Xenopus tropicalis: one gene and its partner. The protein of the gene in region 1 interacts with the protein of each later gene in a pairwise test. Links are inferred from orthologs where the notes say so. Each region holds a gene or a part of one and is shown on either strand. Other genes may lie near its edges.

Region 1 (8,476 bases):
GATTAGGTAGGGGGTGTGCAAGTAGTCTTTCTCACAACTTACTGAGTTTAGTTTGTGAAAGAGTTCAATATGCTTATGTAGCTTTTGAAAGATACACAGGGGACACCAGAAATGTGAGCAATGTCACTGTTGGCATGAATGGGAGTTACATATACATTCACCTTTTTTGCTGTAAAATGGTACCCATGGGGAACCCAGACCTTACAGAATGCACCTGCGTAGTATCGGTGCCAATCCCATACTGCTCTTTGAGCTAAAGGTGCATATAAGTTAAGTAAGGAGGGTTTCTGCAGGAGCTTTAATGCGTTTTTGCTGTTATATTCATGTTTTTTTTTTTTGTTTTTGTTTTTTCTTTTAACACAGTATTAAACCAGCTGCCTCTTCCATCTCCCTTACCTGCTACAACTACAAAGAGCCTCCTATTTAATGGACGGATAGCAGAAGAGGTTAACTGCCTCCTGGCTTGCAGAGATGAACCTCTGGTGTCGCAACTAATCCACAGCCTGAATCAGGTGTCAACAGACCACATGTATGTATCTGATTCATTGACCATTCATGAGGTTTAAGTGTTGCGGCACCTACTTGTCAACTTGCCCCAAAGTTCACCATTGCTAAACCGGCTCTGTACCTTTGGGTTACATTTTACTACAGGATTCTCAAAGGCCCAGCTTTAGCTTTATTGTGACACAGCTTAGCTATTGGCAATTACTTAACTCACATGTGCCTTGGTGAGCAAGATGCACAGACCGGGGTAACAAAAACGTGACTTGCAAATTGGCACCTCAACAGTTTTAAGCTTATGAAACTGGTTCTCGTGGGGACTTTTAATTTTAACTGAGAAATATTGAATAATCGCAGTCCTGTTTGCCACCACAGTGAAATGCGATTTATTAAAAAAATTCTTATTTTGTATATAAATGATGCTGTAGTAATAACAACTGTTTGTGCTGACACTTATTGGTAAGGAAGTGAACAAGTAATTTAAACTTTTTAGATGCTTTTGTTTTCCTTTCTGATATAAGTGTTTTGGGTTTTGTTCTCGACAGAGAACTGAAGGATAACTTGGGGAGCGATGATCCCGAAGGAGATATACCAGTCCTGCTGCAAGCCACTCTGGCTAGAAATCCCAATGTTTTCAGGGAGAAAAGTTTGCAGAACAGATATGGAGTTCAAAGTGGTAAGAAAATACCCTTTATAGGGTAATCAATGGTTTTATTTTATAAACAATAACTGCATTTTAGTTATCTTTTTTTCTGTTTTAAGGCTTAATGATGCCTCAGTATAAACTTCCCCAGAATTCCATGCATGGCAGCCCTGTATCTTCCAATTATCAACAAACCACTATCTCTCATAGTCCTTCCAGGTAAGTTTATAATCTTCTATAAATTTATTTTTTTTTTCATTTGAATTTAATCTAATTTTTTTACATAACCATAAACAGAAATGCTGTCCTGCTGAGTCATTTTTACTTTCTATCTGTCCTATGGGTTACAGAGATTGTTGTACTTTAAACAATCAGGGGTATATTTATCATGCTGTGAAATAAGTGGAGTAACACATTAACGGCGATGTTGCTCATAGCAGCCAATCAGATGCTTTGCTACTATTGAAATATAATTTCTGATTGGTTGCCCTGGGCTACATTACCGTTAATGCTTCACTCCACTTTTTACACAGCATGTTAAATATACCCCTACGTGTGAGTGTTTATTTAGAATTAAAAACAATGCTAAAAAAAATAGCTTAGAGGGTGGTGTTAGGGCAGTGTATACACACCTCATTCCTATTGACTAGAACAATGTAAAAGTGGTGCCTGTCAAATGCCAAATGTTGGGCATCCACCAATAATTAAGATCCCCTACCTAATACCCTGGGCACATCTTCTTTGGGAACATGCAGGCCAGCGATGGCAGTGGATCGCTCACCGGCATGTACACCAGGCTGGTGTGTTTTTTTTTGCTAACGGGGACACCAGCCCAGGGTATAAGGTAAGTGAATACAATTTATGGGGGTGCCTGACATTTTGGCATCCCCCCAATGATTTGACCTTTCCTTCTCCTTTAATGGGTTGGAGATGTATTGTGGTCCTATTCAGGTGAAAGAACACTAAAATCCTTAGTGGCTGAAGGCACCTTTCTTGCATTAACCTGTTGCTGAGAAATGCAAAACTCTCACTTCAATAGGGCACCTATTTCTATTATTTTGATTCCTCTTCTACATCCACTTGTAAGTGTATGTAAATCTTGTATTATAATTTTAGTTAAAAAAAACTTTATACTATATATTTGTATAGTGCAGATGGCACTATAAGTTTGCTGACCCATTCAAATAGGTATTTTTGGTTTGTAAGAATGGTCAAAAATAGTATTCTGACTCTTCCCTTTGTGTCTCCTATAGTCGTTTTGTGCCACCCCAGTCCAGTTCCACAAGCCGGTTTATTGGCCAACAGAGCAGCCCTGTACCGAGTCCATATGCTCCCCAAAGTCCAGCAGGATACATGCCATATTCCCACCCTGGAAGTTACCAACATCAACCATTGCAACAAGGTAAAGAAGATTTTTATGTAAAAGAAGTGTTGGACCATCTTGGGTTAAAGACTTATGTGGGTAACACAACTTTTTCTTGCTCAGCATGTTGCTGCTGCTCTTGGCCTTCTTCAAAATACTTTCAGCCTGTTTTTGGGAAACTTTTTTTTTTTTTTTTTTACTATAACTGTACACAGACATGGCATATCTGTCTTTCATATGCAAGAGTGTCATTAGTCATACAATTTTATTATATTTTCAATATGCTGCGACAGAGGAGAGTAGTTACTAGATTTGTTCAGAATTTATTACATTTCGAAGACCCTATTGGGGTAAATGAAAACTTGTTGGCAGCTCTGATATGCCTCCTCTTGCATTGCTTTGTTGGTGCCCAAAGATTTTTGCAAATTTTGTCTTCTTTACAAAAGCAAGTCTAATTGTTTTTTCTTTTCTGCCTTTATAGCTTCTGTTTCAAGCCCTATAGTTGCTGGGGGGCTTAGGAATCTACATGAAAATAAAGTTTCTGGGCAGCTGTCAGGCAGCTCTGCAAACCATCATGCAGATAATTCCAGGCATGGCGCTACTGAGGACTATCTCCAGATGGTGCACAGGCTGGGTGGTGAGGTATGTTTGTATGTGTATACTAATGGTGTATACCTGGCATTTGACTTCGTTCGGCTACGTATATGTCAAAAACCCTGTCATGAATGTTTTCAAGGATGTTTTGTTTCTTGGAATTAAGATGTTCCCAAGTTGTGGAGTTCTGCTTCATAATGTTTAGAATTTAAACATTAAATGGATACATATTTCTAGCACTTAACTTTTTTTGTCCTCTCTCCTGTGGTAGCACTTAATGTAAGAGAATTATAATGATATATGCCACCTATTTAAGATAATCCTGAAGGAAAGTAAAAATTGCCAAGAAAAGTGCTTAGAAAAATACTCTAAGCCATACCCCACTTTTAAAAATAGGGAATATATTCACACTGTTAAAACTGTTAATCTTTACACTATTTCACACACAAACCCAATTCAGTCACAAACACTTTGTTCGTTTTTTCTTGTTCCGCTCAGGAAGTTTTAAAAATTCTTGAACACAAGCAACAAAATCACTTACTCCTCCATTACTTATGAACCGAATAGCTATTTTGCAATGAACAGTTATTTTACAGTGTGTTTCTTTTTAAATTTTTTAGGACAGTGATTCTTCAATAAGAAATGCTGCTTCCTTTTCTCTCCGCTCTCCGCAGTCTGTGTGCTCTCCTGCTGGAAGTGAAGGGACGCCAAAAGGTAAAGTTGAGATTTGTCTTAGCTGTCAATAAAAGGCACCTATCACTACAGCGCTAGGCTACCCACACCCAGAGTGAGCTCCTGGGACAGGAAGCCATGCTGTGGCACAGATGTGCATAACTCGCTTGTTATGCACGTTTGTTTGAAGGTATAAATCCAATAAATAATTTCAATCTAATATTTGGACATTTTAAAGGGGTTGCTTACCTTCCAAACACACTTTCACCAGAAATAATGTTTTTTTTTTTGCAACTAATTTTAGTTAAGCAGTAGAAAACAAAGTTAAAACTTGTTTCTCCCTCTTGTGTCCGTTGCATAATCCGGGTGCAGACTGAACTGTCACACTCTATTAGATCAGTTGATACATTTCTCAGCAGCAGCTGCAGAGCATTAGCAACTGTTGTATCTTTTATAACAACTTAAATTTATGAAACTTTAGTATTCTTTTCAGCTGGGCCACAGATGATAAATGTATCAATTAATGTGTCGGATTAGAACAGTTTACAGAGGGGGGGCTAAAGTATTGTTTGTTTTTTATTTTGTTATTTTTAATTAAAAATGGAAAGCAACTGAAGAAAAGTGTGTGTTTGATGTACTATCTGAAAACAACTGAACAGCAGCAGCATCTGTATTTATGGGAATCAAGTAGTCATAGTTTCTGAAACATTAAAAAGCTCATATCTCATTTGCATTAAAACAATGTTATTCTCAGTTTTGCTGCTGTTCAAATGATTTTTACTTTTTAGATGATTTTGCTTGCAAGCTTCTTTACACTCAGTTAATGGAGAAACTCTGTTAAATTACTCCAAACGGTGACATTCAAAATATTCAAAAGTCACCAAGGCTGCCCAGGTAGTTCTCTAGTAAATCCGTGGCATCCATGCTGTTGATCCACTCATCAGAATCATTGACTTAACTGCAGAGAATGAACAGATATTGAGCACTCTGCAGTATTAGAGAATAATGGCTGAAACCACAGTATAACATATAAAAAGATAGCATTTTAGAGAAGCCTTTATGTGAAGGGTATGATGCTGGTTAGGTCCATTGACAGGTAGGTTAGGTTTGTTATGACTGATACACATCTAGAGCTATACACATTAACCTTGAAAAACATTCTTAATTTTATTCCTCTTTTTTTTCATGCAGGATCAAGGCCATTAATACTACAGACACAGCCTCCTCCATATTCCTCTCCCAGGGATGCTCCTCCTGACATTCTCTTGGACTCCCCAGATCGAAAGCAGAGGCGACCAAAAAAGTTAAAGATAAGCAAAGATGAGAAGGAACAGACTGAGAAGTCTGCAATGTATGATATTATTAGTTCTCCTTCTAAAGACTCTACCAAGCTCACTTTAAGACTAACACGTGTGAGATCTTCTGAAATGGACCAGCAAGGAGATATGCTCTCCACTATGGAAAACAGTAACATGTCAGAGGGAGATAGCACTTTTAATGTGCAGTTCCCAGGGAATGCTTCAAAAACACCGGTCACTCCACAGGACTTAAGTCGCCCTTTGAATGCTGCTGCTTGTTTTCAGGAGCAAACTGAATTCTTACAGGTGCAGCAAGTGCCTGTTTTACAACCCAACATGTCAGCAGCTGCAAAACCGCCTCAACCTCTTGTGGCTCAATCACAGCCCCAACAAACAGGAAGCATAACGCCATATGACGAAGTGGAACTGGACGCTCTTGCTGAAATTGAGAGAATAGAGCGGGAATCTGCTATTGAGAGGGAACGCTTTTCTAAAGAAGTTCAGGACAAAGGTAATATTCCACCTGTTAAGTACAGTCAAAGCCAACTAATACTTCTGGTAGAGGTTGTTTTCAAGCCAAAAACATTCATTGTACAAATTCTGTGAGCCAAAAACCACTTGCATCTGCAGTGACAGGTGGTTTTAATTTGCTCAATGGGGATAGTGCTTGGGTATTCAACTAGGGCTAATATTCATAAGCATTTTTCGTGGATGGTATTGGATTGACAAAGAATTTGCGACAAATTGCATATAGCCACCTTCTTCAAATATAATGAGATTGATAAAATTGGATGCATAAACTACATGTTTATTTTTTCCATCCAACTCAACTGTCCGATGCGAATGCGGCATGCTGTGTCTGCATCCGCGGCAATCGCTATATTGTTGCATCTAGTCTGAGCGGCTTTTTTTGGAGCGCTTTTGGAGTTTAGCCCTTAGCTTTAGGTTTCCTGCAGATAAGAGCTTTGTCTTTTAAATAGTTGTTGTTTCCCTTGTCTCAAATTTTGTGGGCTAAACTGCCATGTAGCTTGGTTTGTCCAAATTTGCCAGCTGAGATTTTGTTATGGTTCATAACAATTTACTGTTTTTGTTGGGGGGGTGGGGTTCTGTATATGCAGTTCAGTTTTTAAGGGTTAAGGGCTCTGGTACACGGGGAGATTAGTCGCCCGCGGCAAAACTCCCTGCTCGCGGGCGACTAATCTCCCCGAGTTGCCTTCCCCCTGCCATCCCACCGGCGAACATGTAAGTCGCCGGCGGGATGGCAGACGCGGCGGGGCGATTTCGGGAAATCGCCGAAAAAGCCTCGCAAGTCTTTTTCGGCGATTTGCGCGAAATCGCGCCGCCGCGTCTGCCATCCCGCCGGCGACTTACATGTTCGCCGGTGGGATGGCAGGGGGAAGGCAACTCGGGGAGATTAGTCGCCCGCGAGCAGGGAGTTTTGCCGCGGGCGACTAATCTCCCCGTGTACCAGAGCCCTTAGAGACGCAGAGCTACTAGTAGCAGCTACTTGTCGTGGCTACTAAAATTGACAATGCTGATCGTTTACTGATAATTGCCTCTGGGTGTTTTAGCAGAGGCAATTCTCAGTGTTGTCTATGGCAGGGGATTTTCTGGAACTTTGTATCCGTGAAAAAAGTAGCCACTACTACCTAGCTCCGTGTGTCTTCACCCTTATAGTTGTCACTGACTTTAAAAAAAAAAAATACACTTTTGATTTTTGTGCTAGGTTGGAACTAGAGAGTAGAGCTTGCGTGGATTAATTCTTCAGATTAATCCTAAATTCGTGCTGTCTCAGAGTTTTAATTAGCCTTTCGGTGCTTATTATGTGTTTTTGTGCTACATTTTTTTTATATAGTTTGTTGTATTAAATGGGTAGCTCACATTCAAACTTCTAGTATTATGTAGGCAAAGTTTTCATGCTATTGACCAGTTCTGACATTGTACATGTTATCCAGAATGCTCGGGACCTGGGGTTTACCGGATAAGGCGCCTTCCCGTAATTTGGATCTCCATACCGAAAGTCTACGGAAAAATAATTAAAACATTAAATAAACCCAATAGGTTTGATTTACATTTAATAAGGATTAATTATATCTTAGTTGGGATCAAGTACAGGTACTGTTTTATTATTACAGAGAAAAGGGAATCATTTAACCATTAAATAAACCCAATAGGAGTGTTCTGACCCCAATAAGGGGTAATAATATCTTAGTTGGGATCAAGTACAGGTACTGTTTTATTATTAGAGAAAAGGAAACCATTCGGTAATTCGCAACTTTCTGGATAACGGGTTTCCGGATTTGTATTTGTATTAAAACAATGTTATTCTCAGTTTTGCTGCTGTTCAAATGATTTTTACTTTTTAGATGATTTTGCTTGCAAGCTTCTTTACACTCAGTCAATGGAGAAACTCTGTTAAATTACTCCAAACGGTGACATTCAAAATATTCAAAAGTCACCAAGGCTGCCCAGGTAGTTCTCTAGTAAATCCGTGGCATCCATGCCACTACACTTGTAACAGTTCACATTAGGACATGTTAAATTCTAGCTCTTGGGAGTACATTTTTTGATTCCTGAATGATTCTACAGTTGGTGTAATTAATACACTGAAACTGAAAAGAACTAGAGCTCTTGTAATGTGTCTTATGGCTGATTTGCCTTAGTCCTTTTTAAATCCTTACAGCCTCAAGCGGCTTTCACTTTCACATTTATTTATATGTTTGAGTTTCTGTTGTATAATGTTTTCTCTAAAATTGTCACTTTCTTTAACAATGTTTTCTTTTTTTTCTGCTGTTGCTTTAAAAATACACATTGCAAATATGCTAGTATATACTGAAAAATGCCCATGTCTGTTTTAAATAAATTATTTGTATGGGAGAATAAACAGTATTTTCTTAAGCCAGTTTTGCACAAGGTTCATAGGTGGGGCAAACTCTTTGCTAGCGTTTGTTACTATTTAATTCAGAACTGTATAGTTAAAAGTTACTATGAATTTTAATATTAAGCTATTTGTGTTTTACTGTCTAGATAAGCCCCTGAAGAAACGGAAGCAGGATTCTTATCCATTAGAAGCTGGAGGTGCTACTGGAGGTAACAGACCAGCTTCCCAGGAGACCGGTTCAGCTGGAAATGGGTCACGGCCAGCACTTATGGTTAGTATTGATCTTCAGCAGGCCGGCCGAGGGGACTCTCAGGCAACTGTAACTCAGGACTCGGACTTTGCCAGAAAGGCAGATGACACAAAGAACTGCAACGATGGCTATATTTCTGGGCCTCAAGAGGACACTGTTTTCAAGCATAATCCTGAGAATCATCCGACGCCATTAAGAAAGAGTGAGTCAGACGTGGAATGTCCCGATAAGTCTAACAAGAGCACAACTGCTAAGCTGTCAACTGAGAGTGGCC
Region 2 (8,476 bases), about 84 Mb from region 1:
TTTCTTTTTAAACAATGTTGCAAAGGTCAGTCTCCTCCAGCAAGTCAGGTCTGTAAAATCTGCTGGCTTGTGTTACATTGTTTCAAGAGTCAGAGCCACCACGGCAGTGAATAGAAAGGACAAACAGTTTTAATAGCAATAATATATACAAATAACTCAAAAACCATTACAAATTAATACAAAAAAATTACAAATTTGTGATGAATGTATATAGCAAAGTTGTAAAGTATATTCTGAGTTGACTTGTCCTTTAAAACAAGTCTGATGTGTACCTACGCCTGCCACCCAGCTGGTGTTTTACAGCCTAGCCGGTAAAGTCCCTGCAGCAAGTAAATAGAATTGGTATAAAATCCATGCGTCTGTTGCTGCTCCACCAGACATGTACAGTATTTTTTAATAAAGTCAGATAATATACAGCTTCCCACCATCCTTGACTACAGATCTTTGATTTCTGAAAGCATTCTAATATTTCAGTATAGCATAAGGTTATTTTTTTTTTTTTTTTTTACTTGTGTTTGCATGGAAAAAGTTATTTGGGGATGCCAAACAAGGATTGTGATAGCCCAGTGTGGACTGCTAGCCTGCAGGAGGCTTTGTTTGGAGTAAATCTGTATCTCTATGCTTCCAAAACTTGCCTCCAAGCCAGAAATTTATAACTGGGCACCTACGTTGAGGCCACTGGCAGCAACATCAAAGAGTGTGGTGAGCAACATGTTGCTCAAGAGCCACTGGTTGGGGGATTACTGGGTTATAGCAAACAAATTAAGAGTACAACTTAAGAAAACGTACCTCTCAAGAGAGCAGAAGACCAGAGTTGTACAGACATGTCTGGAATCTTGCTTGCCAACTGCATGGCTGGGACTACCATATTGTTACTTTCCTGGTAAAAGATATAGATATGTTAATGCAACAGTTGCCACTATCATATTAATAAAGCTTGTGGCCCTTAGGATTTAATCAAAACTGTGAAGCTGCCCTGTTAATAGTTCTCTACTTCAGCTAAACTATAACCTCTCTCTGCATGGGTACAAGAAACCATGCAAATAAGAAGGGCAAATTTAAACCCTGTCTTAAATTAACTATATTTTCTTTAAATAAAAGCTCATTGAAATACACTGGTATAAATTATTCTGCACTGTCAGATTCCTTTTTATCTATATATTCGTATTTATGTGCATTTACATTATCAGCTGACAAACTTCTTTGAATCAGTTATGGCTCACAAGTGCAGGAGGCACATATACATATGTGGGAGTCTACTAGCTGGAGTACTAAAAAGCTAAACAAGTAAAAAACATCATTCCCAATACTCAAATTTCATCATCAAAAACTGACTGCTAAACATCAGAAATTAGACAACTTTAAAAGCTGCAAGTCAAGCAAAAGCATTACAAATAAGCCAATACAGTCACAGTACAACCATCAATTAAAATACCCCTTAGGTAGCAAATTTCTTCCTGATACAAAATCTCAAAGAAGTGTTCCCATACTCCCACACAGCCTGCTAGTTTATAAGGCCAATATGCCCTTCTCCCATTTAAATAATCAAAAAACTAGTTCTAGAAATTAGTGTACTCTTCTCATGGTTTCCATTTTAAATTATCTGATGTTGCTATTTTCCCCTGTTTACTGTATAGCCAACACAGAAAAGAAAGGCATAGTCTTCCTAGTGATGAATGAAAAAAATTAATTCAGCAAAGGTAACACCTACTCTGTGGTTCCCGAGTACATAAAAGATGTGGCCTAAAAGAACCAAGGAGCAGGCAGTCAGCCGGTTTAGGTCCTCAGCATTTGACATTTTTAAGGTTTCACGCAGAAATCGCCTACAAGAGAAAGAGAAGGGACACTTTAAATAAGCACTTATTTCTACAGGTTAAAAAAAAAAAAAAACCTATATATATATTACATATATGTTTTGTTTTTTTATTAAAAAACACTTACTTTGCTTCATTATATCTGCCTTGGAAAAAAGAAAAGAGCCCACGGATGTAGAAGGCCGCAGCACGGAGGCAGTGAGAACTAGAATGGAAAGAGAAAATTATTCTACCTATATTATATAAATATCTAGTAATTTAAGCTGAAAATCAATATATGTAGCACATATCTTACATTAATGTATATCATCGCATCTTCATGCATTTGGAGAAAAGATGAATTCTTAAAATGCCTATTACAAATTTAGCTGGTTACTTGGTTGTCTATGGAAACTACCTTGTTAGAAGGTATTTAGAGAGATCTATAGTTTGTAAAAAATTAGTTTTGTACACAAACATATATACTATTGTTCCATCTATCAGGAAACAAATGAACTGCCAGAAAAAAAAAAAACATTTCAAAGGCATAGCAACACCAAAAAAACAAGTGTTTAATAAGTAATTAAAATATAATGTACTGTTGTGCTGTGCTTGTAAAGTTGTGTGTTTGCTTAATTAATACAATTATCGTTTATATAAAGAAGTTTCTGTGTAGCCAATAGGGCAGCCATTCAAGTAAAAATAGGGCTAAATGGCACAGGCTACATAGCAGATAACCTGTGTAGAATCCTGCCCTCTGTATTCTACAGAGCATATTTGTTATCTGCTAGGTAACCTGTGCTTTTTCTCCTTTACCACCTTTAAAGGACATGTAAACCCCACACACTCAGTGAACAGCCTGTTTAATATAAATAAATAAATAAAATATATATATATATATCCATAAAAATAACATCTTACCTGACTGGAAAATTATGGTCTGGGTTTATCCTTTCTAGTAAACTATAAAGCTTGGGTGGGGGAAAAAAAGAGAACATTGTGTTATTTTATTGGGCATGTAACTGACTATGTTTAGCATTTATAACTTACTAAATGAGTACAAAAAACACCCTCTCTACACCCATTTGTTACATCAATTTTAAGTTTTCTTTATAGAAAAATTTCCCACATTGATAAATATTTGATAAAATACTGTACATGGATTAATACCACAAATTAATACCAAAATAAGGTTTTATGTGGCAATAAATGTAAGAAAGATGAAGCTGCAGCTCAACTTTTTCCTTCTGGATGGTGCAGTTTTCTCCTAAACGAAAATAACCTAGATCAACCCCCAGAAACACTGCACAATGGGCCTGATTTACTAAAGTGCGATTTAACGTGCGCTATTTATAGCGTGCGTTAAAATTTTTACCGCATCTTAATTTTGGCGATTTTTCGCACGATTCACTATAAGCATACTCGCGCTTTTTTACGCGCGATATTGCATGCGTTATTTAACTTGCGAAGACTATTTCAATGCGGTATTTGCTGGTACATGTGCTAAATTACGCCCGCGAATAGTCACCGCATATGAATGGTAGCTTAGAAATAGTGTATAAAAATTGTCGCCGCATATAAATGGTGTATATAAATATTAGCCACATATAAATGGTAGCATATAAATGGTATCATATAAATAGTAGATGCTTATAAATAGTAGCCACTAGTGATGAGCAAATGTGTTCTGGTTATCTTTAGTGAAAATTAGCAAATCTTTCGAAAGATCCACGAAACAGCAAAAATGTTGTGCGGGCACTCTAGGGGAAACACATACTTGAATAAATAACACTGTAAGTCCATATTTTATTGCAAAAAATCATTTACTGTACTTTTGTATAATTTTTCGCCTGCCTGTAGTAGGTGTTAATTTTCGCATAGCCGAATGCGATATTTAGCGCGCAAAAGTTATAGTGAATCATGCGATCGTATTCTTTTCAGCACGGAAATGAACGTATGCGGTAAAACTAGCGCGAGAAATACCGCATGCGAAAATGCGACTTATCGCATGCGGTAATGCTGTAGTGAATCGCGTCTTTTTTTCCACAAAAAAGCGTGCAATAAACTTTAGTGAATCAGGCCCAATGTGGCTTACTGGCCCAATAAAAAAAATGTTTATCACTTAATTATCTTAATTATGCTTTTGTCCTTTTTTTCTATTTACGTGAAGTTTGTTTTGATGTGGCCAATAAAAAGCACTTAGGGCAGTAGCACACGGGGAGATTACTCACCCGTGATAAATCTTCACTATTGCGGGCAACTAATCTCCCCGACATGCCAACCCACCCGCAAGAATGTAAATCGCCGGTGGGATGGTATACGCATTGCTTCGGTTGCCCGAAGTTGCCTTGCAAGGAAACTTCAGGTGACTTTGGAAAACCGAAGCAACGCGTAATGACTGAAACATACATACTGGTACATGCACATAGGAAATGAACTGGGGATGCAAGAGAATGGCAGATTTGAATGGACTCTATTGTGTCTTTTGGTTAGTGATTTTTCTTGGCGTGTTAAAAATTAAGAAAAATATATCAGTCAGCTTACCTCCTGGTGCCTGTTTCCCTCTCTGATGTAAACACTTGCTAAATTTGTCACTATAAACGTCCACAACTCCTGGTGCGTTGTGAGCTGGGGAGATCAATGTCAAAAATAATTTATAAAGTTAACCGCACAAAAATTCTGCGTACAAGTACAACAGTAGTAAAGGTTTTAAGATTAGGCAGAATTAAGTATTTTTTCACATGAATATCTCCCTATATAAGAAAAGGCTAATGGCAATACAGAAGAAAACAAGTTTGATAGCAATATATGAACTGCATTGCATGCTTTGTAGGGTTGTCAGGAATATCCTTATAAGGGCTTGTCTTGATTTTATAGGAGGCTGTCAGTTTGGATCATTACAATGTAAAAACCTAGGGCAAACATACTTACCCTTAGTGCTGTTGTGAACTGTGCTTCTGCATTATCCATGCAATTTACAGAGATACAGTATAAGCCCTAGGACATAAATACAATTAGAAAAAATAAAGTGTGGGAGCATTTTAATTTAAAAGCTGGCAAAACAAATATTGTCATATGTTACAGTATATTAGTGTTTAGCACACATATTAAGGTAGATAAATCGCCACTTATTGATACAGCTCAAGTACACAGGTTCGATGGGGTTTAATGCTAGGTAGTCTCAAGCCAGCTCTCCACATGCCTCATATGTTAGTGTAATTAATGGAAGCATAAGACTGACTAAAGTTTAGCCAGTAAAGAAGGCAGGGGCCTTAGGTTGTAGCCAGTGAGCTACAAATCACTTTTTTAGCATAAAATAAGAGTTTGATAAAGTATTCTGGTATGTTTATAAAAAACTAGATCGCTTATTACACACCAAGGGGGAGATTTATTAAGACACGAACGCTCCGAGCGTATTTTCAGCGTTTTTTTCGCGCTTGCTCGACTTTTCGTACACCCGCGCAACTTTTTCGTACGCTTGCATGAAAAATTAGGATTAGAAGGTTCTGTCACTGTTTACAATTGTTCGGTACGAAAATTTTGTGACTTTCGGATCGCCAATTCGATATTATCATGACTAATAAGCTTTTTCCGTAAGCATTTTCGTGATATTTGCGATCTTCAGAAATTATCGTATCCAATCCGAATTTTTCGAACTCGTGTTTTAATGAATTGGCCCCCTAATTAGCACACTTAAGGAGAGATGACTTGAGGTAATGCTAGGTTGTCACTAAGACATTAAACCACTGTTCACCAGAACTTCTCGATTAATGGGCATACCCACAAACCACAGAAAATCAGCAGTGAGGTGATAACAGAGGGGACAAGCAGAGGATTTACTTGGAAAAACCCTGTGTTATTTATCAGCTGAGTAATAGTAGAGAGAATTTTAAAGTTGATTAATCTATCTTGTGTTATAATAAGGAAGTTTTACACAAATCTGTGGCTTCCTCCCAGATATTCTTCAAAATAGTCAGTATAATTGCCTGCCACTTATGGTGTGCAAGATCGAATGGGGAAGGCACCATACTTTAAATATTTAAAACACCATAAGCACTCTCCATTGGAAAAAAAAAAGTAGAACCAGTGATGTGGCTCCATAACTATTTATTACTTACCAGTAATGTGTGGAGTTGAGCTGCATGGTTAGAGAACAGACGTGGAGACTGCTGGCAGAGCTGGCATACCTGGGATATCTGAGAAATAAAGACAGATGTAAAATGAAAAAGATTTCACAGGCATCTGCAAAATTCTCTATTACCAGTTTAACATCTCTACCTCTTGTAAAGCTGTGGCTTTGTGTCCTGTCACAAGACGACACATGATTATATGTTCCAAAAGGATGACTTGGAAAGAAGATAGGATAGGACTGCTATCCAGCACTGAGAAGAAAAAATATTGGTTAATTTAGTATTCCAATGGTACACAGGGCATTGTGTCAACATAGCTGAAAATTCACTACAAAATTCCCCAATGCATGGGAGTTAAAAAAAAACAAAAAACCCCATCTAATTAAACATTAAAACCAACAGAAAAAGCTGCTTAGAATAGGTCCATCTTAAATACTGTTAATTTTAAGAATGAAAGTCTGACCTGGTTCCTCAGTTAGAAGTTAATCCTTTCCTTTGCTTCCTTGTGCAGAGTGAAGGCCTGCCCCCACTTCCTGTTCAGTTCTCTCTTCAATTCGACTACTCTAGTCAACCTGGAGAGCCTTCTGGGCATGCCTGGAGGCAGCAGGAGCCAGTCTGTGCATTAGCAGGTTTTTTTTTGTTTTTGTTTTTTTTGATGCGACACCTGAACAGGAAGTAGGGACGGGGCTTCACTCTGCACAAGGAAGCAAAGGAAAGGATTAACTTCGAGCTGAGGAACCAGGTCAGACAGAATGCTGGGACATTCTGGAGGCTGTTTAGAGTAATTTTACTGATATGAAAAAAAAAAAGGATTACCGGTACTTATTCTTTAAAAGAGGAAATATACCCCCCCAACTAAACCAATTTAGTTGAGCCTATTTAGAAAAAAAAACACACATCTGAACTTTCAGATATAAACATAAATGCATTCTTGTTTTACAAAAGCATACTTGATTTCACAAATTGAAAGACACCACCATAACTCCAATTAGTTGTTTCCCAGGATATGTTATGCTGAGAGTGTAATAAGGTCTATGTAAAAATAATACACATTAATATTTGTATCTGGAAGTTCATATATGTACCGGTTCTACATAAAGCCACCAGAAAAAGCTCATGCCAAAATAGGAGGTATATTTTCCCTTTAAAGACAGAATGCATTAACAGAACACAGAAAGGTAAAGGTTAAGTAAAAAAACTTACTTTTGAGTTTCTCCAGCTGCATAAGAGCCTTGTCTGTATATTTCTGAGCCTTTTCTAAATATCCAGCCTGCATAGAATGCATGACTGTTACCTGTAGGTGGGAATACAAGAGAGATACAAGTTTATACATCAACAGTTATATGATTAATATTTGCTAAAACACCACCACTATGATTAAGAACCAATAAAGTTGCATTTAAAATGTGTATTAACAGGTTTCATTAACCCCAAAAAAATCCAAAACATAATAAAGCACAAAAATGCAAGAAGGGAAAAATAAAACCACAATAAGAACAGTTTTCATAGGGAGCATACAGCAGGGTAGATTTTACAACAATGGTTGAATTATACCGGTTCCTGCATTTATACAGTCATCTGCTTACAGATATTACATTAGGAGGCAGTTGTATCATTTTAGTTAAACAGAAATAATTATTAGTTACCCGCTACCAGGTTTTCCTCAATCATAAAAACCCATGAACAAAACAATCTGTAAATATTACATTATACCTGAATAAGAGATGCTCCATTTCAGGTGGTACAAAATTAGACCATTCTTACCAAATAAACCAGAACACACATGTGCTCTTTGGGAAGCCAGTGGAACAAGTCAGCTGGATTACTGGGTAAAATCTCATCATCGTGCAGAGTTGAAATAGTTTGAATGCATTGTTGCAACTGTTTAAGGCATGGTTTTACACTTTTAACCTGCAAGACAAAGTTCCAAATCATAAACACTTTATATTCACTGGGGAAGCAATATAAAGAGAAAGGACATTCTGCATATATAAAAATTAAATGAAAGATAACTCTTTTGGGCTGCTTCTTAAAACTAGGATCTAAAAAAACATTTTTGCTTGACGGCATATGTACTTGACATTCATCAGCTATTTTCCACCTACATCACACAAACTTATACTTGTAAGAATTCCCTGTTTGCTCTCTGTCTAAAGTACAATTTTGTTCTCTGAAATAAGGTAACTATTTTCTAGGAATGTTTAAGAGACAAGAATATGTAACAGAATACATAACAGAATATGTATTATATATTCACCTTGTTTTATTTTACTGTAATACATAACCATTTAAAAAAAATCATTGTATGTTTACATTAAAGGACATTTGAGGTCAACCCTCAAAAATAATTTTTGCCTAATAAAAGAAAACATTCTAACCAACTTTGCAATATATATTCATTACATATTTGTAATGGTTTTTGAATTATTTGTATAAATAACTGCAATTAAAAGCAGTGTCTGCCTGTCCTTTCTATTCTCTGCCCTGGTGGCTCTGGCACTGGAAACAATGTAACCCAAGCCAGCAGATTGAATGACCTGTCTTGCGGGAGAA

What was found.
Region 2: the proteins of nipbl (region 1) and mau2 interact in binary tests that used the Homo sapiens proteins (3 or more experiments, as listed by UniProt). The link is inferred for Xenopus tropicalis from reciprocal best matches to the Homo sapiens genes NIPBL and MAU2.

Annotation. Positions count from the first base shown.
Region 1 is NC_030677.2:197,899,818-197,908,293, reverse strand, and holds part of nipbl (nipped-B-like protein), read left to right. Parts: intron 1-363; coding exon 364-529; intron 530-1,046; coding exon 1,047-1,177; intron 1,178-1,263; coding exon 1,264-1,363; intron 1,364-2,397; coding exon 2,398-2,546; intron 2,547-2,988; coding exon 2,989-3,149; intron 3,150-3,721; coding exon 3,722-3,815; intron 3,816-4,964; coding exon 4,965-5,582; intron 5,583-8,098; coding exon 8,099-8,476. UniProt on the Homo sapiens protein: Plays an important role in the loading of the cohesin complex on to DNA. Forms a heterodimeric complex (also known as cohesin loading complex) with MAU2/SCC4 which mediates the loading of the cohesin complex onto chromatin.
Region 2 is NC_030677.2:113,778,208-113,786,683, forward strand, and holds part of mau2 (MAU2 chromatid cohesion factor homolog), read right to left. Parts: intron 7,835-8,476; coding exon 7,688-7,834; intron 7,230-7,687; coding exon 7,127-7,229; intron 6,176-7,126; coding exon 6,072-6,175; intron 5,990-6,071; coding exon 5,912-5,989; intron 4,791-5,911; coding exon 4,725-4,790; intron 4,422-4,724; coding exon 4,338-4,421; intron 2,765-4,337; coding exon 2,715-2,764; intron 2,020-2,714; coding exon 1,942-2,019; intron 1,824-1,941; coding exon 1,712-1,823; intron 881-1,711; coding exon 790-880; intron 1-789. UniProt on the Homo sapiens protein: Plays an important role in the loading of the cohesin complex on to DNA. Forms a heterodimeric complex (also known as cohesin loading complex) with NIPBL/SCC2 which mediates the loading of the cohesin complex onto chromatin.